Linked DNA regions of Arabidopsis thaliana. The protein of the gene in region 1 interacts with the protein of each later gene in a pairwise test. Each region holds a gene or a part of one and is shown in the gene's direction. Other genes may lie near its edges. The genes, in order: AT4G28330, AT1G03660 and RSH2.

Evidence for each region.
Region 2: the proteins of AT4G28330 (region 1) and AT1G03660 interact in a protein complementation assay, tested with the Arabidopsis thaliana proteins (one large-scale study listed by BioGRID).
Region 3: the proteins of AT4G28330 (region 1) and RSH2 interact in a protein complementation assay, tested with the Arabidopsis thaliana proteins (one large-scale study listed by BioGRID).

The regions. Positions count from the first base shown.
Region 1 is NC_003075.7:14,017,915-14,026,919, reverse strand, and holds AT4G28330 (pyrroline-5-carboxylate reductase), read left to right. Parts: upstream 1-3,614; 5' UTR 3,615-3,991; coding exon 3,992-4,468; 3' UTR 4,469-4,640; downstream 4,641-9,005. Other genes in the region: AT4G28350 (Concanavalin A-like lectin protein kinase family protein), read right to left, coding at 1-343; AT4G28340 (pyrroline-5-carboxylate reductase), read left to right, coding at 1,811-2,290; MAN5 (Glycosyl hydrolase superfamily protein), read left to right, coding at 6,948-7,307, 7,399-7,596, 7,699-7,821, 7,912-8,123, 8,225-8,627; AT4G28310 (microtubule-associated protein), read right to left, coding at 8,854-9,005.
Region 2 is NC_003070.9:908,122-918,510, reverse strand, and holds AT1G03660 (Ankyrin-repeat containing protein), read left to right. Parts: upstream 1-4,702; 5' UTR 4,703-4,857; intron 4,858-4,915; exon of another isoform or gene 4,916-4,979; 5' UTR 4,980-5,160; intron 5,161-5,274; 5' UTR 5,275-5,345; intron 5,346-6,245; exon of another isoform or gene 6,246-6,428; intron 6,429-6,589; 5' UTR 6,590-6,751; coding exon 6,752-7,075; 3' UTR 7,076-7,201; downstream 7,202-10,389. Other genes in the region: AT1G03687 (DTW domain-containing protein), read right to left, coding at 1-203; THM1 (thioredoxin M-type 1), read left to right, coding at 646-871, 1,208-1,521; AT1G03670 (ankyrin repeat family protein), read left to right, coding at 2,289-2,973, 3,055-3,602, 3,672-4,289; AT1G03650 (Acyl-CoA N-acyltransferases (NAT) superfamily protein), read left to right, coding at 7,408-7,651, 8,030-8,262; POR C (protochlorophyllide oxidoreductase C), read right to left, coding at 9,266-9,421, 9,501-9,856, 9,941-10,389.
Region 3 is NC_003070.9:4,412,574-4,423,470, forward strand, and holds RSH2 (root hair specific 2), read left to right. Parts: upstream 1-7,140; 5' UTR 7,141-7,275; coding exon 7,276-7,641; intron 7,642-7,951; coding exon 7,952-8,493; intron 8,494-8,593; coding exon 8,594-8,680; intron 8,681-8,938; coding exon 8,939-8,995; intron 8,996-9,084; coding exon 9,085-9,323; intron 9,324-9,421; coding exon 9,422-9,540; intron 9,541-9,638; coding exon 9,639-9,725; intron 9,726-9,817; coding exon 9,818-9,889; 3' UTR 9,890-10,111; downstream 10,112-10,897. Other genes in the region: NRT2.5 (nitrate transporter2.5), read left to right, coding at 3,832-4,518, 4,869-5,344, 5,419-5,764; AT1G12960 (Ribosomal protein L18e/L15 superfamily protein), read right to left, coding at 10,134-10,262, 10,341-10,417, 10,474-10,582. UniProt on the Arabidopsis thaliana protein: Positively mediates root hair elongation.

The DNA.
Region 1 (9,005 bases):
CGGAGGTTTCGGAGAAAGGAAGGAAGACGAAGGCGAAGCCGTGGCCAGGAGAGAGGTGTTTAAAAGGAGCCATGGAGAAGATGAATGATGTGGCGAAAGGTAACGGCGAGGCAGAGGAGGAGGAGGCGTTGATTCTTGAAGGGTAGAGGCCACGTCCGATGGAGAAAGTGGTTTGGTTGGTGAGGGTGAGGATCGACGGTGGAGATTTAACAGTGGCGTTGCCGAGGAGAAGTGTGTTGGTTGTGGTGAAATTGGAGTTGTAGATGAATTCGATGCCTGTGGTTGATCGGAACAAGAGTAGGGATGCGAGGGAAAAGAGAAGAATGGAAACTTTAGAGAACATGATGACTGAGAGAGGTTTTTTCGTAGACGTGTGCCGTTGTGAAGTTTTATGGGAAGAAGAAGAAGAGCTTTGTCAAAAGAGATTTGATTGGTTTGTTCTCGATTCAACGAACCGATTGTTCAAATATATTGTCTGAAACTGGAAAGATCTGTTCCAGAGTCAAAATTATTAAGGAGATAATGTTGTTTAATGTATATATGCTAATTATATGTGTTAGAAATCTGTTTGAACAACAAATGTGGACGAAATAATATCCGCCGTGATAATTTGATCTCTCGTTTATTTATTTTCCTAAGCATTTGGAATTTTGTTTTTGTATATTTCTTGATCCAAGCCACTTGGAATTAATCGTGAAATTGTTGGACTTGGTATTTCGCTGTCCACATTTATAGGTGTGAATAATGATGAACTTATTCGTCAAAAAAGTCAGCTTTGAAATGTCAAATATTCATCTTCTTCTTGATTCTCCTCTTTAATTCTTTCAAACATATCGCACATAACTCAAATTATTCGTCACCTGTAAGCATCATAGTATTAATAGGACCTAGTATATATTAATCCTAAAATCATCATGTCAAATGCCTAACAGTAACTACTTTTTTGGTAGGTTCATTGTTCAATTCAAAAACATTGAAGTTGATATTCTCTTATTACTATGTGCAACAGTGCAAGTATTACTAATCAATCACTAATCACTTTGGTTTATGAAACGGTGCGTTTGGGAGATGTTGACAGTGTGCAACATTGCAAATATTGTTTTACTATTTACCATAACTTTACCAAACCAGACACCGAATGTTACCTCCCTTTTACACTAGGTTAGAACTCTCATTCTTTATGTCTCTCTCTCATTGTTACACTCTCTGTTTTTGTTATTGTTTAGAGAGAAACACAAGAAACGATTTTTTCTTTTTTTTCTTTTAGTTGTCTACATTGTACTAATGGATCACAAGGATAACTCTACAAGACACAATACACATACTTATAGTGGTATTTCACCACAAGATACACATTCACACACTTAACATTCTAGCTTTAAAACTACTCCCACTTAGACATGATTATTCCTAAGGACTAGACTAAAACCACAAGTAACGTTAAACTACTAAACCTTACACCACAACTCCTCTTAACAACTACTCTTTAGCTACTCTAGCTTAGCTTAATTATAAGCACACCATATGCACAAAATCTGGGCTCAACTCTAATAATAGCCCATTTACTAACCAAAACACACAATTACTAATTTACTATGTGGGCTTCACTCTAGCCCAATAGCCTCATCTTTGACTTTCTCATCTCTTCTGTTGACTCTTCTTCTTCGACAACTTCTTCTTCTCCTTTTGCTTTGCTTTTGGTTCTTCTCTTTTCTTCATCTTCTTCCCACTTGAAGCTTTTCTCTTTTTCAGGTTTAATCAAAGTTTCAATTCCAACACAGAATCATAAGAAAATCTGGTGTTCTCAAATATGGCGGATAAGGAAGAACAAGAGACGATGACCTCGTACAAGCTGTTTTTGAGAGTCATAAGCAAGAGGAGAACATGGGTCTGTCTGTTTCTTGTAGTCTACGCGGTCCTTTTGTCTTCTTCAAGAAATTCGTTGAATTCGATAGTGAATTGGTACGGAGAGAATCATCAGACATCATCTGGTTTGCCTGCTATTTACGCGTCGGTTCTTCTTGGTGCGGTGTTCGGAGTTCTATCTATGGCGGCAGCTCTGTTCATCGCTGTGCCAGCGATCGTTGTGATCTGGATATCGGTAGTGGTGACAATAGCGTTCCCCGTAAAGTCGAGGAAGAAAGTGGTGATTGAAGGAAGGAAAGTGACGAAAGAAATTGCTGGTTATGTGTTTAAGGTTCTTCTTAAAGAAGGAAACTTTGTGGCTCTTCTTTGTGCTGTTATTGCTTACTTTGTCTTCTTTAACTCTTATTACTCTTCATCTTCTTGATTCAGTTTTTGCATTTTGTCATTAACGAAAACATTCATAACTAATATATTGACATCTTATCTTATGGTATATGTTGTAAAATAGTACAACACCCCATGCAAGTTTTGGGTGTTGAGTTCGATTCCCTTCTTTGCATGTTTGCGTCTTCTTTTTTTTAAACTTAACATTGATACCAAAAAAAAAGTGTGTATATATTGAAATCTTTCTTCATTATTTGTCCTTTAGTTTAACAAGATTTGATTTCTTGAATCTGAAAATATCGATCTTCTTTGTTGGATTGATGTGTTCTCTGATGATGTCAAAACGAATGCTTCCACGTCACAATACCGACACGTGAAGTTATTGACATTTCTTTTGTTTATTTCTTTGAGAGAGAACACAGATTCTTCTTTTGGTCGTCTCTCTGTTTGTCGGTCATTCTCTGTCTCTTCCGTGGAAGAGCTTCTGAAACCTCAACTATAATATGGGTTTGAAGGCCCATTTGGGCTTTACTGATTACCATCAATGGCTCATTTTCTGTTTTAGTGAAAACGTTAAATACAGTATCTAACTTATAACTTTCTATCAGCTGAATACTTGATATAAATATATTTAAACTATGTGAGATGCCAAATACTAGAGTACGATGATGATAGCCTAGTAATTGTGAAACAGATATATTGTGAATGTGACGACGAAGAAGAAGAAAAATTGTGTAAGGAGTAAGTGCATGTGATTAGGTATGGTCCAAGCTGAAGTTGGGTAAGTAAAAAAGCTTCATAGGTGATGAGTTGCACCAATTCTTCAGAATACAACATTAATAACAAGTGTAAGAAGGTACTCAATCTAAGTCAATGCATAGTTTTCAAAGTAATAATGATGCATATTTGACAAAAAGATACTCCAATGCTCTTGATCCACAATGAGTAATTGAGTATAATTCTCAAACATCTTTAAGTATTGTTACTTTGAATTGGTTTGCTTTGTCTTCAGATATTATTGAATGACATTGGTTGGTAGTTCAAAAGAATAATTGGTCTGCTTGAATGTTTCCCCTTTAGATATACTATATAATAATAAAATTATAATGGTCCAAAATTAGCAGTTATAGCTTATAGGCAGCTTTTATCTCTCTTTTTTCTTTCCTTAACACTAGTAAATTGGATCGCAAGATCTTAGATTGCTAATAACCAACTTTACACTTTGCATTATACAAAATTAACTATTTCCAAAATACCCAAAAAAACTTGATACATTGTTCCTTACATAATAAATTGACTTTTTGGGTGTTAACTTTTAAGAAAAACAGTGTAAGTATTACACAAATTAATCACTAATCACTTTGGTTTATGAAACGGTTAGTTTGGGAGGTGAGCCAAAAGTGAAACTAGAAAAAATGGAAACAGAGCTCTCCAACTGTCAGTTTGCAGGAAAAGGCAAAGACTTTAACTGGACCGCTAATAAAAGAGGCACGTGACAAACACAGCCTAATCAGCAAGAGCGTGTACTTCACGTTACATCAGATTCGACTAGGCTTAAGTATAAACTAAAAAGAACGTACGATCACTTTCCTTTTCTCACAATTCTTCACCGCAAACACTCACCCCAAAAAAGGAATCAGAAGAAGAAAGAAGCTTGTACAAAAGAAGGCTCTTTTACTATATACCATAACTTCACCAAACCAGACACAGAATCATAAGATCAGATCTGGTGTTCTCAAATATGGCGGATAAGGAAGAACCAGAGACGATGACCTCGTACAAGTTGTTTTTGAGAGTTATAAGCAAGAGAAGAACATGGGCCTGTCTGTTTCTTGTAGTCTACGCGATCCTATTGTCTTCTTCATGGAATTCGTTGAATTCAATAGTTAATTGGTACGGAGAGAATCATCAGACATCATCTGGTTTGCCTGCGATTTACGCGTCGGTGCTTCTTGGTGCGGTGTTCGGAGTTTTATCTATGGCGGCGGCGCTGTTCATAGCCGTGCCTGCGATCGTGGTGATCTGGATATCAGTGGTGGTGACGATGGCGTTCGCCGGAAAATCTAGGAAGAGAGTGGTGATTGAAGGAAGGAAAGTGACGAAAGAGATCGCTGGTTTTGTGTTTAGGGTTCTTCTTAAAGAAGGAAACTTTGTGGCTCTTCTTTGTGCTCTTCTTGCTTACTTCGTCTTCTTTAACTCTTACTCTTCATCTTCTTGATTCGTTTTTTTGAATTCTTGTCATTAACGAAAACATTCACAGCTAGTATATTGAAATCTTTCCTCATTATTATTTGTACTTTAGTTTAACAAGATTTGATTTCTTGAATCTGAAAATATCGATCTTCTTTGTTGGATTGATGTGTTTTCTGATGATGTCAGAGAGAATGCTTCCACGTCACAATACCGACACGTGAAGTAATTTACATTACTTTTGTTTATTTATTTGAGAGAACACAGATTCTTCTTTTGGTCTCTTTGTTTGTCGGTCATTCTCTGTCTCTGTCCATGGAAGAGCTTCTGAAACCTGAACTATAATATGGGTTAGAAGGCCCATTGGGGCTTACGGGTTACCATTAATGGCCCATTTTATCGTATATAGTGGAGAACTGTTTTAGTGACAACGTATTAAATACAGTATCTACTAGGCCAGACGATAAATTGTGTTTGAAGGAGGAAGTGCATGTGATTAGGTATGGTCCAAGCTGAAGTTGGTTAGTAAAAAGCTTAAAAGATGATAAGTTGCACCAATTTTTCATAATGTAGCAATAATAACAAGTGTAAGAAGATGCTCAATCCAAGTCAATGCATAGTTCATACGATAATTCTTTTTTTGATAAAAGTTCATACGATAATTCAAAGATATAATTATGAATATTTGACAAAATATGTACATACATTCAATGCTCTGGATCCTTCATGAGTAAATCGATCCTCAATGCTCTTGAATCTTTATCCACAATGAGTAATTCTCAAAAATCTGTTAGTATTGTTACTTTGATTTGGTTTGCTTTGTCTTCAAATATTATCGAATGCCATTGGTTGGTGGTAGTAAATCATGACATGGCCTTCAAAAGAATAATTGGTCTGTTTGAATGTTTCTCCTTTAGATATACTAATACTATATAATAATTAAATGATTATGGTCCAAAATTAGCAGTAAGGCTGCTTTTATCTCTCTTTTTTTTTCCTTTACACTAATTTGATTGCAAAACTAGATGGCTAATACATAACTTTACACTTTGCATTACAAAAAATAGCTAGCAAAATATCCAAAAAAATTTAATACTGTACATTGTTCCTTAGTATTATTAAAATGACTCTTTGGGTGTTAACTGTTAATAAAAGCAGTCACCGACAGCATTCAAAGTATTTTACTTCTGTCTTCTATTTATTTATTATTGTATTTACCACACACACGCATCAAGTTTTCTAATGTCGACAGAGAAAATAGATAGTACTGTTACCCTATATTCTAAGAACTTAACAAAACATTAGAAAAATACAAAAGCGGAGACGACTGTGATGAACAGGTTCACATAATTTAGCATTGTAATTTATACAATTTTGACTAAACAACAAGGATAAAAAGAATCTTACCACAAATGTAATTGTCAAGCCTATCTATGCTCTTTTATCATCATAAACAACGTGGAGAACACCTCAAAAGTGATTTTCAAGAGAACAAAGAAATAAATATGCTACTGAATATGTTGAATTTATGCAGAAGCTAAATATTTTCTATGTAAATGTAATTATTTGATTTGTTTTGTCTTCTCAGAATTAACCTTTGTATGTTCTAAATGAGTTGGGCTCACAATTCACATCACATGATTGAACAATGAACATTTTTTCTCAAATATCTGAAGTTGATGACACTCCAACGCATGTGGCCCTGTTTATTTTTTTTCCTAAGAGATTCAAATGTATTTTTTTTCCTGTGATACTCATCAAAATTAAATTCCTTCTTTTAAAGTTTCCAACAACATATTAGTCTCTTTTAGTTCTAAATCTAAATACCAGGTTAATTCCTGTGCTTTTTCCTCTTCTTTGGTGGGTCAAGTTCTGTTCTTTCCCCTTCAACCATTTTTTTATTTATAAATATCCAATTTTTATGAAGATATTTTATAAGTAATTTCAACTTACGAAATAGAGTGTAAAATCATACCTTGTGTAATTTTTTTTTTTTTAAAACATCACATTATGCCTTGTCCCTTTTGCAAGGTAAAATACAAAAGGGCTATTTCAAGCTATTTTCTTCTTTCACAAAAGAAAATTAGAATTAATAGAAAAATATTATTTTTTTGTAAAAAAATTAATAGAAAAATATAGTAATTTGGGTCCTTTAAGTTTCAGATACAGTGAAACTAAATAACTAATAAACAACTAATATAAATACAAAGATACATAGATCTGTGTCTGTGATTATTCAATTTCTTCTGCTTGTTCGTATCTCCCTTGTTTGCTTAAAGCGTTATTGAGCGAGCTATTTTTTCAAATCTTTGCTAATTTTCTACAAACGATTGATTTTTCCGTCTGGGTTTTATAAAAGGTTTGGGTTTCAGAGAAATTCACGGAACAAGGCACAGACTTTTTCTTCTGGGTGGGCACCGACTAAAAAAGGAGCTCTTTCTCCAATTCTGGGTTTGAAATTTCTGTGTGTGTGTGTGTGAAGCAGTGAAGCAGGAGGTGGCAGAAGCATGGTTCCCACAAGGAACAGGCCAATGCTACGAATTCTAGGTTTTTTTATATGTGCAGCTTTCATCTATCTATCATTTCGAGATTTGTGGTTGAATCACAAAGGGAAAGCAAAGTTAGGGTTTGTGAAAAGGAACGGAACTCAGTTTGTGGTGGATGATAAGCCTCTTTATGTAAATGGGTGGAACTCGTATTGGTTCATGGACCATGCGGTTGATGAACATAGCAGAAACCTTGTCGGTGAAATGCTTGAAGCTGGAGCTAAAATGGGTCTCACTGTTTGTAGAACTTGGGCTTTCAATGACGGTGGCTACAATGCTCTTCAGATCTCTCCTGGCCGATTCGATGAGCGAGTCTTTCAGGTTTTGATGATTCTTCCTCTTTTTTATAATTTCAGTTATGTGGTGATCTCTCTCTGTCCTTGTTTAATGGGATTTGTATAATGTTGGTTAGGCTTTGGATCATGTAATTGCAGAAGCGAGAAAGCATGATGTTAGATTGTTGCTTAGCTTAGTGAACAACTTGCAAGCTTATGGAGGGAAGACTCAGTATGTGAAATGGGCATGGCAAGAAGGTGTTGGTCTTAGTTCTTCCAATGATTCCTTCTTCTTTGATCCATCTATCCGCAATTACTTCAAGAATTATCTCAAGGTAATGGTCTCTTGCTGATTATGATTGAACATTTTAATCATTGAGTGATAGTGAGAGGAAGTTTAATGAGTAAAGATTGAATGATTATTTCCTAATTCGCAGGTTCTGCTCACCAGGAAGAACTCTGTAACGGGAATAGAGTACAGAAACGATCCTACGATTTTCGCTTGGGAGTTGATAAACGAGCCTCGATGCACGACTGATGTCTCTGGCAAAACTCTCCAAGTGAGTATTCCATTTCACTTGCCACTTGGAATCGTTCAGATTGTTTCTTATTCAGCAAATATATTTATGTATTTCTTTGCTGGATCACAGGATTGGATAGACGAAATGACGGGATTCATTAAGTCAATCGATGACAAGCATCTCCTCACAGTAGGTCTGGAAGGCTTCTATGGTCCTAATAGCCCGAAAGGGCTCACAGTTAATCCAGAACAGTGGGCATCCCAGCTCGGAACAGACTTTGTTCAAAACTCTAACTCCTCAAACATAGATTTTGCATCCGTTCATATCTACCCTGATCACTGGTAAGTGAGCTGGATCAGAGAATCAAGATATAATTGCATTGAGCTCTTCAGGTGCAGGTTTCTCACTTGTTTTATTCTGCTACAAATGTATATATGGGCAGGTTTCATAATCAGACATTTGAAGAGAAGCTAAAGTTTGTGGTGAAATGGATGCAATCTCACATAGAAGATGGATTGAAAGAACTAAAGAAGCCAGTTCTCTTCACAGAGTTTGGCCTATCAAACCAGAACAAGGACTACGAACCATCGCAGCGAGATAAGTTCTACAGAATCATCTTCGACGTGGTTTACAAATCAGCCAAAAGAAAGAAGTCAGGTGCAGGCACATTAGTGTGGCAGCTATTCATGGAAGGCATGGAAACATTCAACGATGACTTTGGGATTGTTCCACATGAACAAGATTCCATTTACAAATTGATGATAGAACAATCTTGCAGATTGGGTAAAGTCACAGGACGTCTTAAGGAACAAAAGTTGAAAGAACTTTGTTCTCACAGACATTGAGAGAATCACATGTAAACTGTCTTTTTTCTCTACAGTGAAATCTGATTCTCATTTTTGTTGTATACAAGAATCAACTCAGTGAGTAAAAATATCTTGATGCATTCAAGTTCATTGGTCAGAGTTCATAGATAAATCCATATTTATAAGCACAAATACAAAAAAACAAACTAAGTACTCAACAATTCTAAACCCTAAGAGAAATTATTGAAGAGACTAAATATGAAAACTAATTAGAGCTACGCTTAGCCAGTCTTGGAGATGACCTCGTTGAACTTGTCTTGTTAACTTTTACGATCTTCTTCTTCTCAATCAATCTCTTCTTCTCCACAAACTCAGATTTAATCGATTTCTTGTTAGCTTCAACAAGTTTAGTCTTGC
Region 2 (10,389 bases), on another chromosome or scaffold:
GATGGAAATGGAGACACCGGACCCCATTTCCGCCACTCCTCTACCGAGATGATTCCTTCATCGCAAACGTCGAATTCCCTCGTATGAGAACGCAAAATCGAGGAAGTCATAAGCAATCTCTGGCCAACAGCTACGAGATTACGGCGGTGAAACAGTAGCGACGGAGAGAAATCGGCTACGGATGCTCCAGCGATACAACGCATCGTTTTTACTGTTTGGGCTTCTCGAGGAATAATAATTTAATTTTACGGGGTAAGTGAATACTATTGGGCTTTAATGAAACTAAGGCCCAGTGAGCTTTAACCTTGATTGATACACTTCAAGTTAATTGGTTCGATAATTTTTTGTTTTTCCGAAAACGAGAAATATTAATGGGCTTTAATGAAACTGCGGCCCAATAGTCTTAGAGCTTGAATAATAGGGAATTTATTTAATCGGATAAAATTAAACAATAGTAGCTCTAAAGAAAAAAGGATTCCTAAAAAATCAGTCACTCCTCTTAATCTTCTCCTATCTCTCATTTTCGTGGGTTTTGTTTTTGTTATCTTCTTCGTTTGGATATTATTACATTTGGGACTCAAGAAGAAATCGAATCTATCGTGTGTGTAGATTGCTTCTCTCTATCTCTTCTCTCGCTACACAACAATGGCTGCTTACACGTGTACTTCCCGTCCGCCGATTTCTATCCGGTCAGAGATGAGAATCGCTTCCTCGCCGACGGGTTCCTTCTCTACTCGACAGATGTTCTCTGTGTTGCCGGAATCGAGCGGATTGAGGACTCGCGTTTCTCTATCTTCACTCTCGAAGAATTCTAGGGTTTCCCGATTACGACGAGGCGTTATCTGTGAAGCTCAGGACACTGCTACAGGAAGTATGTTCTCTCGTCTTTGTAAATCAATGCTATTTCTCGATTATGCGTTTTGTTTCTGGGAATTCTTATGGGTTAACTCTAATGGGGCTCTCTCTTAGTGTCTATGAAATGACTTCCATGTTCAAGTAGTGAAATTGGAAGACAACTAGAAAAAGGTTTCTTCGGATTTGAACCTCTTTGTCATGTTATTTATGCACATATGTATTAGGATCTCTAAGTATCTATCTATAGAAACTCAAGATGCTTGTTTGTTGGATTTGTTATCCCTTCATTCATAATTCTACACTCATGGTGAGTCATTAATCTTGGTTTTTTTTTGCTATATGATCCATGCAGTTCCAGTGGTCAACGATTCAACATGGGACTCTCTAGTTCTCAAGGCTGATGAGCCTGTGTTTGTCGACTTTTGGGCACCATGGTGTGGACCCTGCAAAATGATTGATCCCATTGTCAACGAACTCGCGCAAAAGTACGCCGGCCAGTTCAAGTTCTACAAACTTAACACTGATGAGTCTCCTGCAACCCCTGGCCAGTATGGTGTTAGAAGCATCCCAACTATCATGATCTTTGTCAATGGTGAGAAGAAGGATACAATCATCGGTGCTGTCTCTAAAGACACTTTAGCAACCAGCATCAACAAATTCTTGTAATGAACTACTAGTCACTGTTCTCTTTTCTCTGTATCTCTCGACTCTCTACCTTTTACCTATCTACTCATCACTGTTCATCTAGACTTGTATGATAATATGATGTCTCAGGTTTTCAGAATTTGAAGTCTACGAAAACATTTTATTATTGTTACCAATTTACACGGTTAGAACTTTGAAGAGGCCTGGTCGTAGGGGCTAAAATTCTAATCTCTAACTAACAACATTGAATACAATTGCAAAACTGAGATAAGGTCAGAGCATTTACACGCACAAACTTACAAAACTTTGTGATGACAAAAAGGTCTGATCTTTAGAAGAACCTTAAGGATACTGTTCTAATGTCGGATTACCGAAAACATTGAATAACATTGCGTAACTGAGACAAGGTCAAAGCATTACACACAAACTTACAAAACCTTGTGATGATAAAAGTTTGATCTTTTGAACCTTACGGATGTTGTTTAGAACTAGAATAAAAGCGACGCTAATCCTCTTCACGTCATCAAGAGAATATATCTCTCACATTTATATCTCTACATAACCTAAGAAGTAATTCAATCTACCCAGTACTGCGCATAGATTCTCTCTCTGTTCGAATCTGTCTCTCTGCTTCAAGTAATTCTCACTTTTTCTTATGCTGCATTAATTTAAAGTTATTTAGGTGGATGTTTATGTCGTCTAATATTCCTGAAGTTTTAGGATTATCAAATCTTACTTATTCTTTTTGATCAGGAGATTTTAAAGTGAAAGTAGCACTGAACAAGAGTATGAAGTGTGACAGTAAATCTGAAACAGTAAGCTCCTCGTCCACATCTGGCTCCCTTTCAGATCCAGATCAGTGGACTATTTTCAAAGACAAGGATGAATCTGAGATTATGAATCCAGCGATTTTGTGTGCTGTAAGAGCAGGTGACAAAGTCTCCCTCCTGAAAAGGATAAACGATGACGTAAAGGTCACTCAACGACTCGTAGACAATCAAGGGAATTCAATACTTCATATTGCTGCTGCTTTGGGTCATGTCCATATAGTGGAGTTTATAATCTCTACATTCCCAAATCTTCTACAAAATGTGAATCTGATGGGTGAGACAACTCTTCATGTTGCAGCCAGAGCAGGCAGTCTCAATATTGTTGAGATTCTTGTTCGATTCATTACAGAGTCTTCTTCCTATGATGCGTTTATTGCCGCTAAAAGCAAGAACGGAGATACTGCACTACATGCCGCGTTGAAAGGAAAACATGTAGAGGTGGCTTTCTGCCTAGTAAGTGTGAAGCATGATGTATCATTTGATAAGAACAATGATGAAGCATCTCCATTATACATGGCTGTAGAAGCTGGATATCACGAGCTCGTGCTTAAAATGCTTGAATCTTCATCTTCCCCATCTATACTAGCTTCGATGTTCAGTGGAAAATCTGTTATACATGCAGCAATGAAGGCCAATAGAAGAGGTTTGTTTCTATGTTTGTTCAACCTTGTACGCCAAGTGTTCTTTATATGTTTTAATTATTTCTTGGTCATTGCTTTGACAGATATCCTAGGTATTGTTCTTAGACAAGATCCAGGACTTATTGAATTACGCAACGAAGAAGGAAGGACATGTCTTTCCTATGGAGCATCAATGGGATGTTATGAGGGAATTCGCTATATACTAGCAGAGTTTGACAAAGCAGCTTCAAGCCTTTGTTATGTCGCTGATGATGATGGCTTCACTCCTATTCATATGGCGGCAAAGGAAGGACATGTCAGAATCATTAAGGAGTTTCTTAAACACTGTCCTGACTCAAGAGAGCTACTTAACAATCAATGTCAGAATATCTTTCACGTTGCTGCCATAGCTGGTAAGTCGAAAGTTGTCAAGTATCTTTTAAAACTTGATGAAGGGAAAAGAATGATGAATGAACAAGATATCAATGGGAATACACCGTTACACCTAGCCACTAAACACAGATACCCGATAGTTGTGAATATGCTTACATGGAACGATGGGATTAACCTCAGAGCACTCAACAATGAAGGCTTTACAGCTTTAGATATTGCTGAGACGATGAAGGACAATAACGCTTACGTACTTTACAAGGTATGTCAAATTTGAAGATTCATGTAGTTAATGATAAAGTCTCATGTAACTTTTTTTATTGGTTTACAGAGATTGATTTGGATGGCTTTGGTATCTGCTGGAGCACCACATGGCCCAAACCTGATTCCCTTGACTGTGTCACAGAGTAGCAAACAAAGTCCAGAAAGATACAAGGATAGTGTCAATACTCTTATGGTGACTGCAACACTCGTAGCAACCGTGACCTTCGCTGCAGGTTTGACATTACCCGGTGGTTACATGAGTTCTGCTCCACATTTAGGCATGGCTGCATTGGTCAATAAGTTGAATTTTAAGGTATTTCTGTTGTTGAACAACATTGCAATGTGCACTTCTGTGGTAACTGTAATGGCTCTAATATGGGCACAACTGGGTGATGCACTTCTGACAAAGAAAGCTTTTCGACTAGCTTTACCACTTCTGTTAACAGCTGTTGTATCAATGATGATGGCATCTGTGGCTGGACTTACTCTTGTGGTGAGCGATCTCCCATGGCTTTCCCATCTTGTATTAGCCATAGATTCAGCCTTCTTGGTATTCCTGATGCTACTTATCATTCCTTACGCTTTCTCGTCTACAAGACATGGCTTTCTCAGACATATCTTCTACTTTCCTTATTTCTTGATGCTTTTGGTTGTTAGCGAAGGCAGCAACAACATGGATGGTTAAAGAATGCTCTGTTCTGTTCTATTCTGCTCTGTTTTGTATCATGGATGATGGATGGTTAGTGTTCTGTTTGTTTTTAACAGTTTTTGTATCTCACGAGTTTGTAATTGTGGTTTTACTAAGTAACCACAAAAATTGGTACAGAGACAAATATGACCGTTGGCTGTTGCAAAGAGCTCACATGCATGATCCCGACTTTGCTCCTCTCGCTTTCAAGGCCAAATTCTCTGTTTCAAAAATAAGAAACCTCAAATAATTTGTCTTGATAAATTGTTGTTACGCAGTAAGATACAAATATGACCGTTGTGAGGAAATTTCCTTTTCTTTTTTTGCAGCCTAATTAAAATTTCCTTTTTCTTAACCTAGTCGAAAACAAAAAGGAAACAATAGAAATTTCCTTTTTTCTATTGAACAACGTTTGCTTATAAATACTCTTCTTCCTTGTAAAATAACTAATTCTTCATTCATCTTCTTCTTCTTCTTCTTCTGCAAAACGAAAACAAAAGAAACCATCTTTCATTTCTATTTTTCTTCGGAGGATCTATGGATCGATTGGATTTTGACTCAGTCGGTACGTGTTATCTGAAACTATTTTGGTGTGAATCTCTTTTGCTTTTAATTGTGAGTTTCGTTGTTCTGTTTAATCTTTAATAGGGTTTGTTTTGGATTATGTTTATCTTTGATGGTTTGAAGTTTAAGAAGATTTAGAACAATAAACGTCGTCGGCGTTTGATTCCAGTCATCGCCGGAGAGAACAAGGCCCAATCGTCGTTTACAATCACCGTTCTTCCTTGTCCAATTCCATTAGGGCTAGGGATGATGCAGTAACACCAATCTCATAAAGTCATAGTCCTCTCTTTCTTGACCTGTAACGGTAAGTAATTTCCAAAATCCTCTATGCTTTTCTCTTTTTTTTTTTTTGTCTACTGTCTCTAAATTTAGCCCTAAACCAAATATTCACTCCTTTCTTCGTTTTATTCAATTTCAGCCTATTGAAAGTTATCGCCTACTAGATTTGTGGACAAACACTGTTCATCAACAATTCAACACTTATTCCATGTAAGTTATTATTATTATTATTATTATTATTTTTTTTTTTTTAACACGATTCCATGTAAGTTATTTCTTCTATTATTCGTTCATTTTTTAAAAATAATAAATTACAAAATGTTTTTGTTTTCAACAAAAAAATAAAAGTATTTTCAACAGTAGTTTTTAATTTTATTTAACAAACTGTTTTCGTTTACACATATTTAAATTTTTAACAATTGTTTCTCTTCTATTAAAAAATATTTTTAAACTTATATTTTTATATAACTATTAAAACTATAAAGGTTTTTTGGATAAGTGTTAAATTTTTGAATTTTGTGTAAACTAATTGGACATAACATCCAAACCCCTAAGAGGTGTCCTAGGTTCAATATGGTTTACACTTAATTTAAATTTTTAATACTTATCATCATTTTATTATAAAAAGTTTTTAAAATTATATTTTTATATAACTATTAAAATTATAAGGGTTTTTTGGATAAATATTAAATTTTTAAATGTTATGTAAACTAATTAGACACAACATCTAAAACCCTAAGAGGTGTCCTAAATTCAATATGGTTTACACATAATTAAAAATTTTAACATTTGTTTTTAATTTATTAAAAAATGTTTTTAAAATTATATTTTTATATTACTATTGAAACTATAAGTTTTTTTTTGGATAAATGTTAAATTTTTAAATATTGTGTTAAACTAATTAGACACAACATCCAAACCCCTTAGAAGTGTCCTAGGTTCAATATAGTTTACACATAATTTAGATTTTTAACACTTATTTTTATTTTATTTTAAAATGTTTTTAAAATTATATTTTTAAAACTATAAGGTTGTTTTGGATAAAGACAAAAACCCAACCTTTGAATCATCGACTTTTTGCGTTGGAGTCAACGACCTTAATTCAATTATTTAATTGCTTGCTCGGCAAGCTAAACATCGTCGTTGATTGGTACGCACATCCAGACTTCTCCTTTCTTATTTTGATTAAGTCAATGACTTGTTAGGATTAAATATTTTGGTTGCTACAAGTTCAAAACTTCAACATTATTTTCTTCGTCTTCCTTCATCACCTAGATTTCAAAGCGTCTTAAGGTAATCTTTGAGTGTGTATTTTCAAGTTTAAGTTCTAACTATTCTTTTTGGGTTTCAATTGGAAAAAGAGAGTAAGTTTATGATAAAATTTCTGAATCTGCTTTTTAAAACATGTTTTTGTGAAGTCCTATCATCATGTCTCGTTTAATTCAATCTTTCAGAGATATAATAAGCTTGGATATGGCTTTGGGATCTGCTAGTTCACCAAATGGTACACAACCAATTCTCTTGAGTGCTTCACAGCGTCCCAGAATATCTAAACTACAAGAACGTATCTTATTGCTTATGGTGGTACAACAATTGTAGCAGTTGTGACATTTGTTATGGGTTTCACATTTACAAAGATCTACACCAGTTCTGCTCCAGATTTAGGCATCACAGGTTTGGTCAAGAAAGCAGTGTTCATAGTTTTTCTGGTTTGCAATAGCATTCCAGTGCTCTTGTCTGTCATAGCTACAATGAATCTTATTTGGCCACAACATCTGGGTGATATTCCTCTGATACAGCAAGCTATGAAACGAGCCATGGTACTTATCATGTTTGCTTTTTGGTCTATGGTTGTTGCATTTGCATTTGGAGTTTGTCTTGTATTGATGCTCCTTCCATGGCATTCCTTCCATGTCTTTAGCTCCAAAGCACATAAGTGATGTGTATGTAGGTTTGTGAACATTTTCCATTACACATTCAAGCTCTTGATTGTTTCTATCTGCAATCTTTCATAAGTTCGTTCACAGTGATTGATCAAATATGTTGTCTTTTAATTTGGTGTGGTCTCTGATACAGTTCCTCTGTTTCTGGGGACTAAATTGTCACAAAAGTTAAATTTGTGGGTCAAATCACAATTTCAAATAGTTTCTAAAAGTCGTCCCCGCCGTCGCTACGCACCTTCATCAAAATCAAATCACAATTTCCTTGGCTCACTCGCTCTCACCGGCTGCGAAACCAACGAGAGATTCCACAAAATCGAATCTTTTGTACAATGGACAAAGGAGTTGTGGTAGAGCTGATTAGAGGGTCGACCAGTTGGGCCAAAGTTGTGGAAGATATCGTGAAGCTGGAGAAGAAAACGTTCCCTAAACACGAATCTCTCGCTCAAACTTTCGATGCAGAGCTGCGTAAGAAAAACGCCGGTTTGCTATACGTGGATGCTGAAGGAGACACAGTAGGCTATGCCATGTATTCTTGGCCATCTTCGCTTTCCGCTTCAATCACCAAGCTCGCAGGTATAGACAAACGTCCGCCAACTGTTCGATGAAATTACTCAGTGATAAAATTCAGAAAATATAATTTCGTTAGAGAAGAAGTGGAATTATTCTGCCAAACTTCTACTGAAAAATCTTTCAACCATTTGATAAATTAACCTGTAGATTATTATATAGTCAAGGACCAATGATTCTGGTAAATTCGAGAGCTTTCAATAGAAATTCTGACTAGACAAAGCCCTTGTTCTAGCTTTGGTTTTGCATGCTTAAAGATTAATGGAGATAGCTCATAAGTCAAGAACACGTATGGAATTTTTCTTATTAGGCAAGTTAAGAGCAAAAACATTAGGAAGAATGTATCCCAAGTTTACTTTCTTCTGTTGTTTTGGAATCATGTAGTGAAGGAGAATTGCAGAAGACAAGGTCATGGAGAAGCATTGTTGAGAGCGGCTATCGACAAGTGCAGAAGCAGAAAGGTGCAACGGGTTTCACTTCATGTCGACCCCACGAGAACTTCTGCGGTGAATCTGTACAAAAAGCTTGGGTTCCAAGTAGACTGTCTAGTGAAAAGCTACTACTCGGCTGATAGAGATGCTTACAGAATGTACCTAGATTTTGATGACTCTATTTAGCCCAAAAGGATTGAATCATTGGATTTGGGGTTATATATGTATTCCCATATCTTGGCTTGGGCTTGATATGCCTTGTACACATTCATTGATTACTTCTCTACATCAACATATTACATATGTCTAGCGAGTTTTTGATATTTTACGATGCAAGATGAAATCATCTTGGGACCATCAACTTATCAACTTCTTCACAATATAGAATGAGATTTTTAATCGTTTTCATGTTAGGAAGTGGTGTAAGATTTCATAATAGAAGATTTTTAATCTTATCATCGATGGTCGACCAAAATGAGAAATGGCATTTGATAGTGTTTTGAAACGTTTTTGTAAGTATTATAATGTAATATTTTATCAAATAATCCCAAGCGGGGATAGCTCAGTTGGGAGAGCGTCAGACTGAAGATCTGAAGGTCGCGTGTTCGATCCACGCTCACCGCATTTTTCTAAAACCTTTTAATCGATTTAAACGACATCGTGTTAAAAAATTAGGTCGTAAGAAAGGCCCATTATGAAAAGATCCACGACATAATCCACCAAACCGCATTCTTTTGTACTTTAAATTAATTTTAAACGACATCTGTTAAAGAATGAGGCAAAACGACGACGTGTTAGAGAAAAGGCACACTAGAAAAGATCCACGACATGATATCCCACCAATTCTCGCCGGTGTTAACCGTTTTGTAATTCCGATCATCGGGTAATTCTCGAAGAGAGAAGAAAGATGTTAGATTCTCTAAGACCGAAGACTCTTATCGGTTAAATTTTACTCGGGATTACGATGCAGTTCGTTGGTCGTGTCTCAACAACAGTAACGATTCATGTCCCCATCTCAACTATGGAGCAATCTACGAATCATCAGTCTAATTGTAAGTGTCTTCAGATTCGAATTCGATGATTAACTCTATTGAAATGCATTCGAATGATTAGTCTGATTGATCATACTTATTGTACATGTCACAAAACATAGTAATCTATATGAATTTGCATATCAAAAATCTTGAGTTCATGCCAAACCAACAAGCTTCTCGCTAACCTCCCACAGTTTCTTTGCCTTCTCCGCATCACTTGCTTCTTTAGAAAGCTGATTCTCAAACGAAGACGAGTTATTGTTCCAACTCCAATACACTCCTGACTTCCCAAGACTAGGGTCACTCACAACCTAAAACAAAACCACATCCTCAGTATCAATCAATAATCTGTTATACATATATTAGAAAGGATTTGCAATGCAAACTGACCTGTGCTAGTCTTTTGCCAGCTTCCTCTTCAGATACGTAACCTTTGGTGATATACTTTTGAAAAGGCGGAAAAAGAAGCCGAAACAGCGGTATGTGTTCTCTGAACAACCCTGTTGTAGCGATGCAACCAGGGTAAAGAGAAGCAAACGTGACTCCTGTTTCCTCGTGGTAACGTCTGTGAAGCTCCTGCATTGTCAGCATATTGCATACTTTGCTGTCTTTGTAAGCCTTTGCTCCATCAAACTCTCCTCCATCTATCATTGAACTGTTTTGCCCATTCAATCCTGACGCTAAGCCTCTTAGGTCTCCAAGGTTTGCCTTTGGCGGTACATTCCCAGCCAAAGTATTTGTGTTTCCTGCAAGAACATAGAAAAGAACATTCATTGTTTGATACTAGGAACTATCTTGGTGGAAATGGACAAGTTGTCTGTGTTATTTACCTGTTATAGATCCTACGATGATCATACGTTTTGATGGATAATCAGATTTTTTCAGGTCATCAAGAAGCAATCTTGAGAGAAGAAAGTGACCGAGATGGTTGGTTCCAACGCTTATCTCAAAGCCTTCAGCTGTAAAAGAAGGCTCTTTAGCAGTTGGTTGGTAAACCGCGGCATTGCAGACAAGAACATCGAGTGGTTGTTCTGTTCTCCGGAAATTTTCAACGAATTGCTTCACGCTTTCAAGCGAAGCAAGATCAAGATGCATCACTGTGTAATCTTCCTTGGACATTCCAACAGATCTCGCTGCCTTCTCGGCCTTGAGAAAGTTCCTGCAAGCCATGATCACATGCCATTTCCCTGTGTCTGCTAAAGCTTTGGCCGTAGCTAAACCTAAACCAGACGAAGCTCCAGTGATCACTGCAGTGCCTTTTCTCTCAGTCTTCTTTTGC
Region 3 (10,897 bases), on another chromosome or scaffold:
TATCATCATATATGCATTTTGAGGACTAGTATGCGATTCTGCTTTGTGTTTTCCGTAACAAATAAATTCAATAAGTAGATACTTCAGCTTATATAAAGATTACCAAATATCGAAAGCTTTTGAAGAACATTCTTGTCAATACCCTAAAAACAAAGGTAAGATCAATAATAACATGTCTTTAAAATTTATTGTCTATATTCTCAACTGTTTTTGAGGGGAAAAATAGAGTTCATCGTAATCTTGATGAGGTTTCACTGATGTCATATTTGGTATGCAAGAGTAAATTGTTTTTTTTTTTTTTTCAAATGTACAAATGTCAAAAGAAAGAGAGAATCTATCTCCCAAGTTAATTAAGAAGTGTACTTTCATAGGATTCCAACGAGGTCCAGGGGAGAAGGAGATGCGAAAAGTCTTCGCTCACAAGATTCCACACATTAACAAAAGTCCGCATTCTAGGGACCTACAGAATATTCCTCAATTTTAATCAACACTTGAATTGTTGCTTAGTCCAAATAAACGGCTTAACTATTTAAATATTCTGGTGGTTTGTGTTTAATGAACGGTGGTTATAAATCTTATCAACAAGTTTTTGAACTTAAGCAAATAAAACCACTAATATAGAAATATATATATATATATATATATATATATATATGTGTGTTAAGAACTATATAGGAAAATATTATACGTTTTTTTCAGGGACTATACAACACACTTATCAGATTTCCATTTCACTCATTTGATCTATAACTTTGACATTAACATCTCACATTCTATTATAAAGTATTAACACTGTAATCTTCTTTTTTTTGCTGATTTATTTTAGGAGGTGGTCATATATCTCAACCTTTAGAAAATGTACTTTATATGTCAAATATAAAAATGAGTGTGTATCTATCAAAACGAATACAATTATATTATAATAGAAATAGTTACATAAATCATGGGTTTTAATAATATAACCGAAAGTATATAAATCATCATTATGATTAAATTTTAGTAGGTCTGCCATTATAAAATCGAAATTTATCTTAAATTTAGAACTCTTTCATTATAATTTTTAAAACTTCACACAGTTAATTGAATGTAAAAAAAGAAAATCTAAGACTAAATCACATCTAAAAGTTTTCATTTTTCAAGGAACATTTAACATAAAACGACTATTAATTGATATCATAAATTTTGTCTTTTCTATTTTGAAAATGTTACTTTATGCAATAGATAAACTTAATGTGTAAGCCATCGAAATCGATGAAAAAAAAATTCAAAAACAGGATTTTTTTGTTTTGAAAATCTTCCAAATCTCTATAAACATTATAAATAGCAAAAAAAAAAAGAGAAATATATATATATATATATATATATATATATATATATATGATTCAAAAGATTTTCAAAACAGAAAATATATCTTTTTCGAGTTTATCTCTTTCATCGAGTTCGATGACTATCAACTTAAACATTAAGTTTTTATCTAGTGCATATAGTGATATTTACATAAGAGAAAAACAAATTTTGTGGTATTAATAAATAGTCGGTTTATGTTAAATGTTCCTTAAAAAATAAGTTTTTAAATATAATTTCATCTTAGATTGTCTTTTTTACATTCAATTAAATGTGTGAGTTTTCAAAGATTACAGAAAAATAATCATAAAATCCAAGATGCGTTTTGAATTTTATAACCATGAAATACATATAAACCTATGAAAATTTAATCATAATGATACTCATACACTTTCAGTTATATCTTCAAAAATCATGATTAGTGTGTATAATTGTATTCATTTTGATGGATTCACAATTATTTGTATGTTTGACATACATAATATAAAATATATAAATTCCAAAAGGTTGATATCACCGTTTCCAAAAAATAAACAAGCAAAAAGACAGATTTACGTGATAATACTTCATAATAGGATGCGAGATGTTAGTTTCAAAGTTATAGATCAAATCAGTGAAATGAGATTTTGGTAAGTGTGTTATATAGTTCTTAAAAATCTGGAATCCCGTATCATCTTTTCTTATATAGTTCTTACATCTTAACATATATATTTGTTATTTCTATATTGGTGGTTTTATATTTGCTTGAGTTCATAAACTTCTTGATAAGATTCATAAACCGTCTTTGAAAACAAACCATCAAAATGGTCCCTCTTCTTGTTTCTTTGAAAAGATCATTTCATACAAGCGATATAGACAAAGCATTTAAGAAACAACAAGTTGAGAAGTTTTGTAACACGTACGTTGTTGTAACAAAAAAAAAAAAAAAAAAGAGTAAAGACTTTGCCAAAGTTTTCGAAGACTTTACCTTTGCCATGGTTAAGGAGCCCAAAACGAAGCAAGCAACTGATCCCCGAGTCTCAAGTATTGACTTCGAAAACAAATATTAATATATATAATACACATATATATATATATATATATATATATGTAAAGCATATTAATTGATATGTAAATAACTATTATAAGATTTTAAGAGTAAATAAATAGTATGCCAAAACAATAATTTGAATACTTATACTACTATTTTGAGTTTTTGATTTTCAATTAAACATTCAATGACAAAAACAAAAAGGGAACTAATTGAATTATTGCATCTTATGCATATACTATATTTCATAGATCCAACATTAAAATAAACTAACTGTTATTTTAGACCATTGTTTTCTTTAAAATAATTGTTGCTTTTTGCCCACAGAAATTAATAATGTGTTGTTTTAGGATTTTAGTGTAAATTCTGATAAATAATGTCTAAACTTTCTCTATATAAATTAATGAAAATATGAAATAAATTTTTTCTTCTTAATTCGCTTGAAAATAAAAAAAAATGACATGAATATGGAAAACATCATTGTGAATTTTTTTGTTAGTTAGTCAGTTAAAGTAAAGATTATGGAAGTTTTGTTTTGGTAAACTTACAAAAACAAATATTAATTGTAACAAAAATTGATTTCAAACTCTCTCTCTTTCTCATTTATATAACTTTATTTTTCACAAATCACAATGCACAACTCAAAAAAATTAGAATGTTTAAAGTAGATAATGCAAACAAAAAACTCTCAAATCGATTTGATATTAATTAAATGAATCTCTTGATCTTCAAATTGAGTTACAATCTAACCTTTTCTATTTAGATAAAATGTGAAAATTTATTTTAGAACTTATACTGAACACAGAGACGTAACGAAGAGAAACAGAAAACTAAAAAATATGTTGTAAATACGACAAAAGACTATAAAAGTTAATGACATTCACGAAATTTACACGTTCTAATGGTCGATGACACAAGGAAACTTTCAATGTTGCCACAAGTGAATTGAGATCTCAAGTCAGCCTCCAATACTTCTGAAAGAGCGGTGCTAACCCTCTTAATACAAAATTTATATATCTAAACAAAACACCGTACTAAACCAAACAATCTTAGATTCAATCGCGGTGCTTACAATCTAACTTAGTTATAACAAAATTTATATATCTAAACGAAAACTAAACACCACATTAAACTCAACCATCTTAGATTCAATCAAAACCAAGATTTAATATATTTTATTTTTCATCTAGAAAGAAAAACCAGAAAACCTTTATGTAATGATTCAAGTTTTTTTTTATACCATCACACTAAAAATAAAAAGATAGCATTCAAAATCCAAAAATAAATAAATATTAAAATGATTACATCAACGCTTCACAAGAACATAAATCCATGAAAATGTCACAGCTTTAACACTCTCCTTCTCTATAAATACTCATAACCTCAAACCTGAGATTCCTCATTCCTTAAACCCCTAAACCTCCAAAATTCTCTGAACCTTCACAAAGATCACAAAAATGGAGGTCGAAGGCAAAGGAGGAGAAGCTGGAACCACCACCACAACCGCACCTCGGAGGTTCGCACTTCCGGTGGACGCGGAGAACAAAGCAACAACTTTCCGACTATTCTCAGTCGCTAAACCTCACATGAGAGCTTTCCATCTCTCATGGTTTCAATTCTTTTGCTGCTTCGTCTCCACTTTCGCAGCTCCGCCTCTCCTCCCTGTTATCCGTGAAAATCTTAACCTCACCGCCACCGACATCGGAAACGCCGGAATAGCCTCTGTCTCCGGCGCTGTTTTCGCTCGTATCGTCATGGGCACGGCATGTGATCTTTTCGGTCCACGTCTAGCCTCCGCCGCTTTGACGCTCTCCACCGCTCCCGCCGTCTATTTCACCGCCGGGATAAAGTCTCCGATCGGGTTTATCATGGTGAGATTCTTCGCCGGATTCTCTCTCGCCACTTTCGTCTCGACTCAGTTCTGGATGAGCTCCATGTTCTCTGGACCCGTCGTGGGTTCGGCTAACGGAATCGCCGCCGGGTGGGGTAACCTCGGAGGAGGCGCGACGCAGCTGATCATGCCCATCGTGTTCTCGTTGATTCGTAATATGGGAGCCACCAAGTTCACCGCGTGGAGGATCGCTTTTTTCATCCCCGGTCTCTTTCAGACTCTCTCTGCTTTCGCCGTTCTCTTGTTCGGTCAGGTAACAAACCAATCACACTCACCGGTTCAGTTATTTTGGTTTTTTCAACTAATCCGGTTTTGAGAATTTATCACCAAGTTATTTTTTGTTTTGGTTAAATTTACTTTCTTTGTATAGTCAGTTTATCCTGTTCTATATAAATGATTAAACCGATTCGTTTAGGTGCAAACCCGGTTTATTGATACCGGTTTGGGTCGTCTAGTAGAGTCTTTAGTCGGTTAATCATGGTCGAGTTTCAGTGGATATGGACAATAACTGTTTAATCATCTAAGTTGTGTCTATTACAAGGAATAGTAAAAGGATACATTTGTTTTGTCTTATGTTTGCTATATGTTTTTGGAAATGAGTAGGATCTTCCTGATGGAGATTATTGGGCGATGCATAAATCTGGAGAGAGGGAGAAAGATGATGTGGGGAAAGTGATATCTAATGGAATCAAAAACTATAGGGGATGGATAACAGCATTAGCATATGGCTATTGTTTTGGAGTAGAGCTTACCATTGACAACATCATCGCAGAATATTTCTTCGATAGATTCCATTTAAAGCTCCAGACAGCAGGGATTATAGCAGCGAGTTTTGGACTAGCCAATTTTTTCGCTAGACCTGGAGGAGGAATTTTCTCTGATTTTATGTCGAGACGGTTTGGGATGAGAGGAAGGTTGTGGGCTTGGTGGATTGTGCAAACATCAGGAGGTGTATTATGCGCATGTCTTGGCCAGATTTCTTCCTTGACAGTGTCTATAATTGTTATGCTTGTCTTCTCTGTATTCGTCCAAGCCGCTTGTGGACTTACCTTTGGCGTTGTTCCCTTTATTTCTAGAAGGTAACATACATTTTGGTATTGAGTTGCTTGATTGGTTATTCAACATTTTTGCTTACAAAAGTTTGTTTATGCAGATCTCTTGGGGTGGTATCGGGAATGACTGGTGCGGGAGGCAATGTAGGCGCGGTCTTAACACAGTTGATATTCTTCAAAGGATCGACATACACGAGAGAGACGGGTATAACTCTAATGGGGGTAATGTCAATCGCATGTTCATTACCAATATGCTTGATTTACTTTCCGCAATGGGGAGGTATGTTTTGTGGACCCTCTTCCAAAAAAGTAACTGAAGAAGACTATTATCTCGCCGAATGGAACGATGAAGAGAAAGAAAAGAACTTACATATCGGAAGCCAAAAATTTGCGGAAACCAGCATTAGCGAAAGAGGTCGAGCCACAACGACTCATCCCCAAACTTGATAAATTCATGGTGTTTTTTTTGTTTATATGTATCGACTGTTGACTATGTTTTTGTCTTCTTCTCTTTTGTTTTTCTTAAGAGTTTTCAAGAACTCAATTTCTTGATTTTATTTATAATTGTGTGATAAGTTGTGTATGTTATGTAAAACCTACTACTGGTTACTGCTTTCTTTGTAATGGAAGGCTTTTGTAAATGTTTGTTCATCATGGAATGAACAAACGTATTTTCATTTAGTATACATATTTTGTTTTTTAGTTATCTTTTGTTGATCGTGATAATAATGATTTGACCACAAGAATACAAACCAGTAGATTCATAATTTATTATACACTGTTAGTCTGTTAACCTTGTAAACCAAAAACGTTTCGATATTCATATGCTCTTTTACATCAAACACTCGGTTATTTGTTTTATCCAAATAACTATGACAATTACATAGTTACTAATTGGTACTTTATTTCATTATCAGATATTAACTGAGTTGAAAACAAAATTAGATAGCAGTTGAATTAAACTTTCTATTAGTATTACATCATTAAGTGTTTTTAGGTGACCAAAAAAAACAACAATTACATTCTTCCCACTTTACAAATACTTTTAAAACAAAACAGCTTGTCTTTTATGTCAAAGTTCATTGAAAGATGAACTTACTTTGGTATATTACAGATACCATGAAACCTTAAAATCTTCAATAGATCACATCTTTTTAGCCCAACATCTTTATTTTATTTACTTTTGGGCATATTTAGCCCAACATCTTTGGCAGGGAAGAAAAACTTTGTAATCTTCTCGCTATGCCATTGGGCTAGAAAGGCCATTATGGGCCTATTCTTATTTCATTATGTCTCTAGTGGGCCTACTACTGTCTTTACTATCTTGGCCAATTAGAATAAAATCTTTATTGTATGTTTCCCAATCTACCACATTGTCACAAACACTCACAATAATTGCTCCGCACGTAGCAAGAAGTAGGCCATATGGAGTCCACGACACAAAGATTTGAATGGTCAAAGATATATAACAAAACAAAAGAAATAAAAGAGTTGTCGCATGTTCTTATATAAACGATTTATATATTATAACTGCATTTTACATTATTGTATTGTTTAGCCGAGTCGTGCGAATGGAATATCAAATCGTCATCCTTTTGATTTTGAATGACAATTATACAGTAATGGAGACACACACACAAACATATAAACTATTAAATTCTACTGTGAAACGCTAAGTCAATAAGATTAACTGGTGTAAAGCTGTCTGATTAACAAAAACTTAAGTGTGAAAGCTGTCTTTTACCACTCTTCCAAACACTCGTAAGTCGTACCAAATCTAGTTCTTTATTTATTTTTTAATCGTTCTCTATATTATATAAAAGAGAAAATAAAACTATTAACTTCTATATAATTCATAAACCATTGATTCCTAAAGATTACAAAATCATTGATCTCCTTCTTCTTCTTTAACTTTAAGCACTCTCTTTCTCTCTTTCTCTTTCTCTTGTCGTCGGAGAATGGAGAAAGATAATGACTTCAAGGATCCGTTTCTGGCGTCAACTGAGGAGGAGGAGCTCGACCCGGCGACCCAAAAAGCATTGATGGAGTATCTTGGAGTCGGAAGCAGAGCATCTTCTCTTGTCTCCTTCTCCTCTACCGCCGTCGATATCCCTCCAATCTCCGGTGTCGGAGACTTTGTCAGAGAGTTTAGAATCGAGTCTAGAAAGCTATGGAAACTAGCTGGCCCTGCCATTTTTACAACGATGAGCCAATACTCTCTCGGAGCCGTCACTCAAGTTTTCGCCGGACATATTAGCACTCTTGCTCTTGCCGCCGTCTCCATTGAGAACTCCGTCATCGCCGGCTTTTCATTTGGTATCATGGTACGTTTTACATTGATATGTCTCCCCTGATCACATTTTTCCCTTTCTGTTATGGAACGTATACATTTAACAAATCTTTTGCATCTCTTTATAGACTAAAATAAATGATTTATTATACTTTCAAATCATTTTTCACACCAAATTCAAAGTATTAAGAATCTACAATCGATCAACTTTAATCTTTTTATATAACAACCTATATATATCATTTTGTTGTATATTTGCCATACTATAAAACTAGTTTAATATGATTTTGGTAGTTTGTATGCAAATTTCTTACGGCTATTATTTGTATGTATGGTGCCTTTAGCTTGGAATGGGAAGTGCGTTGGAAACGCTATGCGGACAAGCGTTTGGAGCAGGGAAAGTATCAATGCTTGGCGTTTACTTACAACGCTCGTGGGTTATTCTAAGCGTAACCGCTCTCTTCCTTTCTCTAATCTATATCTTCGCGGCTCCAATCCTGACCTTTATAGGCCAAACCGCTGCAATCTCGGCCATGGCAGGGATTTTCTCCATTTACATGATCCCACAAATCTTTGCCTACGCTATCAACTTCCCAACGGCGAAGTTTTTGCAATCACAAAGCAAGATCATGGTCATGGCTGGAATATCCGGTGTGGTTCTTGTGATCCATAGTTTCTTCACGTGGCTAGTCATGTCTAGGTTACACTGGGGACTTCCTGGTTTAGCTTTAGTGCTTAACACGTCGTGGTGGGTCATCGTTGTTGCACAACTTGTGTATATCTTTAATTGTACGTGTGGAGAGGCTTGGTCTGGATTTACGTGGGAGGCTTTTCACAATTTGTGGGGGTTTGTTAAATTGTCTTTGGCTTCTGCTGCCATGCTCTGGTGAGTGCAAACCTTTTTTCTCTTCCAATTATTTTGGTCCGATTTGATCCAACCCCATTAATGAATTCATATTTTAAATACAATTTATTTACTTTTGTAGTTTGGAGATTTGGTATTTTATGGCACTCGTATTATTTGCTGGATATTTGAAGAATGCTGAAGTCTCCGTAGCTGCACTCTCCATATGGTAAAATTTGTTATATCTCTTAAACTAATTAACATCTTTACAACATTTAAGGTTTACATGATTTGTTATTTGATTCATTTATTTATTATCAGAGAGATTCTCTGAATAAAGACTAGACCCAACGTGCGTAGTAGTCTCTTGTTTTGTTTAATAATCAATGTCCTTAATGTATTAAGAATTCAAAATTTTGAATACTTCCACTGCAAAGAAATTTCTAATGATTTGTTTTCCTTAATTAATGGTGTGTGGAATATGAAGCATGAACATTTTGGGATGGGCAGCTATGGTTGCGTTTGGGACAAACGCAGCAGTAAGGTAAATTCTAGCGTGTGAAATAAAACTAACTCTTTACAAATTCTACACATCTAACAAGTGCCAAGCTAATAATACATTTTTGTTGGCAGTGTGAGAGTGTCAAATGAGCTAGGAGCTAGCCACCCAAGAACGGCCAAGTTTTCTCTAGTTGTGGCTGTGATATTGTCGACAGCAATTGGGATGTTTATAGCAGCCGGCCTACTCTTCTTCCGCAATGAGTACCCGGTTTTGTTTGTGGAAGATGAAGAAGTTAGAAATGTGGTTAGAGAACTCACGCCAATGCTTGCCTTTTGCATTGTCATCAACAATGTTCAACCTGTATTGTCTGGTAATATTTGTTTAGTGGACTCCAATAGTCCAATATAATATGGTTGTACATAACGTAAACCGAATGTATATGAGATTATGATAAATTTGATAACGCAGGAGTGGCTGTGGGAGCGGGATGGCAAGCAGTTGTAGCGTATGTGAACATAGCATGCTACTACTTGTTCGGAGTCCCATTTGGTCTATTATTGGGATTTAAGCTTGAATATGGAGTAATGGTAATGAAATTCACATCCTTTTATCTAAAAGTAAAACCTTTATCAAGGAAAGACGAAAGACCGGGGTTTTTGATGTTTTGGAAACCTATTTTGATCAGGGAATTTGGTGGGGGATGGTGACGGGAACTTTTGTTCAATCGATAGTCCTGACTTGGATGATCTGCAAAACCAATTGGGAGAAAGAGGTAAGAAACCAAAACACTTTAAGACCGAATAGTCACGACCTCGCTCACCGAGTTTATTGTTCTAATCTTTTGAATGATATATATATTTGTAGGCTTCAATGGCAGAGGAAAGGATAAAAGAATGGGGAGGAGTACCTGCAGAGAAAGAGACTCTTTTGAACTAGAAAGAGTTATTACTTCAAGACATATTGATGAGTCTTTCAGATCACATTTTTGTATACGAACCTTAAAAGCAAAATTTGGTTCTCTCTTTCTAAAAAATCTGTAACTTGTTATGTCATCAAACGCTGACAAGATATGTTATAACGCTGATAATTATCTATAAACAATTTGACTTTTGAGAATTGGGGTCTTAATGAAAAGTTACCAAATCATTTAGAATAATACTACTCGCTTGTCAGAAGTTGCTTAGTATAGTAGAAACGTGAGGACAACAGCACTACCAGCTTCCTTAATCTTCTTTTCATCTGTATTCGACACAAGCTTAGCCTTGACAACAACAGGTTTATTCTCCGGCAAGAAACCTTTCCCTAAAACCTTAAAATATCCAAATTGAGTAACATCAATCATAGACACATAGTGTTTCGTTGCTTAGTCCATAACGTCCTGAGGAACCATCGACCAAAGCTTGTCAAGATTGACGATCTGGCAGTAAAACTTGTTCCTGAGCTTGTGGAAATACCTCATACCAACTTTAACAAAATATCCAGGATGATACTTGTCGAAGAGGATACGGTGTGATGCATACCACCGGCGTTACCACGACTTCCGGGAAGCTTACGGTGCTTTCCAAAACGACCATGTCCAACAGATACGTGTTCTCTAAGATTTCTTGTCTTCTTCCTGCTAGTCGTCATTTCTCACCGATTGAAATTAGGGTTTCACAAGAAAAAATGGGTATTAAGGTTTATATGTTTTTACGCGGCAAGTAATAATGGGCTTATCATTGGGCCTTAAGAGCGAGAAGAGCCAGAAGAATCCGGTTCCGATTTTTTAGTCAAACCAAATAAAGCCGAAATTAAATTCTGCTGGATTTGGTTTGAAAATTCGTTATTTTAACAGGAAATAAAAACGGTCTAATAAGAATAAAAATCTATTCGAAAAATAAGAACAATTTTTATAAAATAAAATAAAAAAATATATTTAGAAAGTGTTATCTTAGGAAAACTATT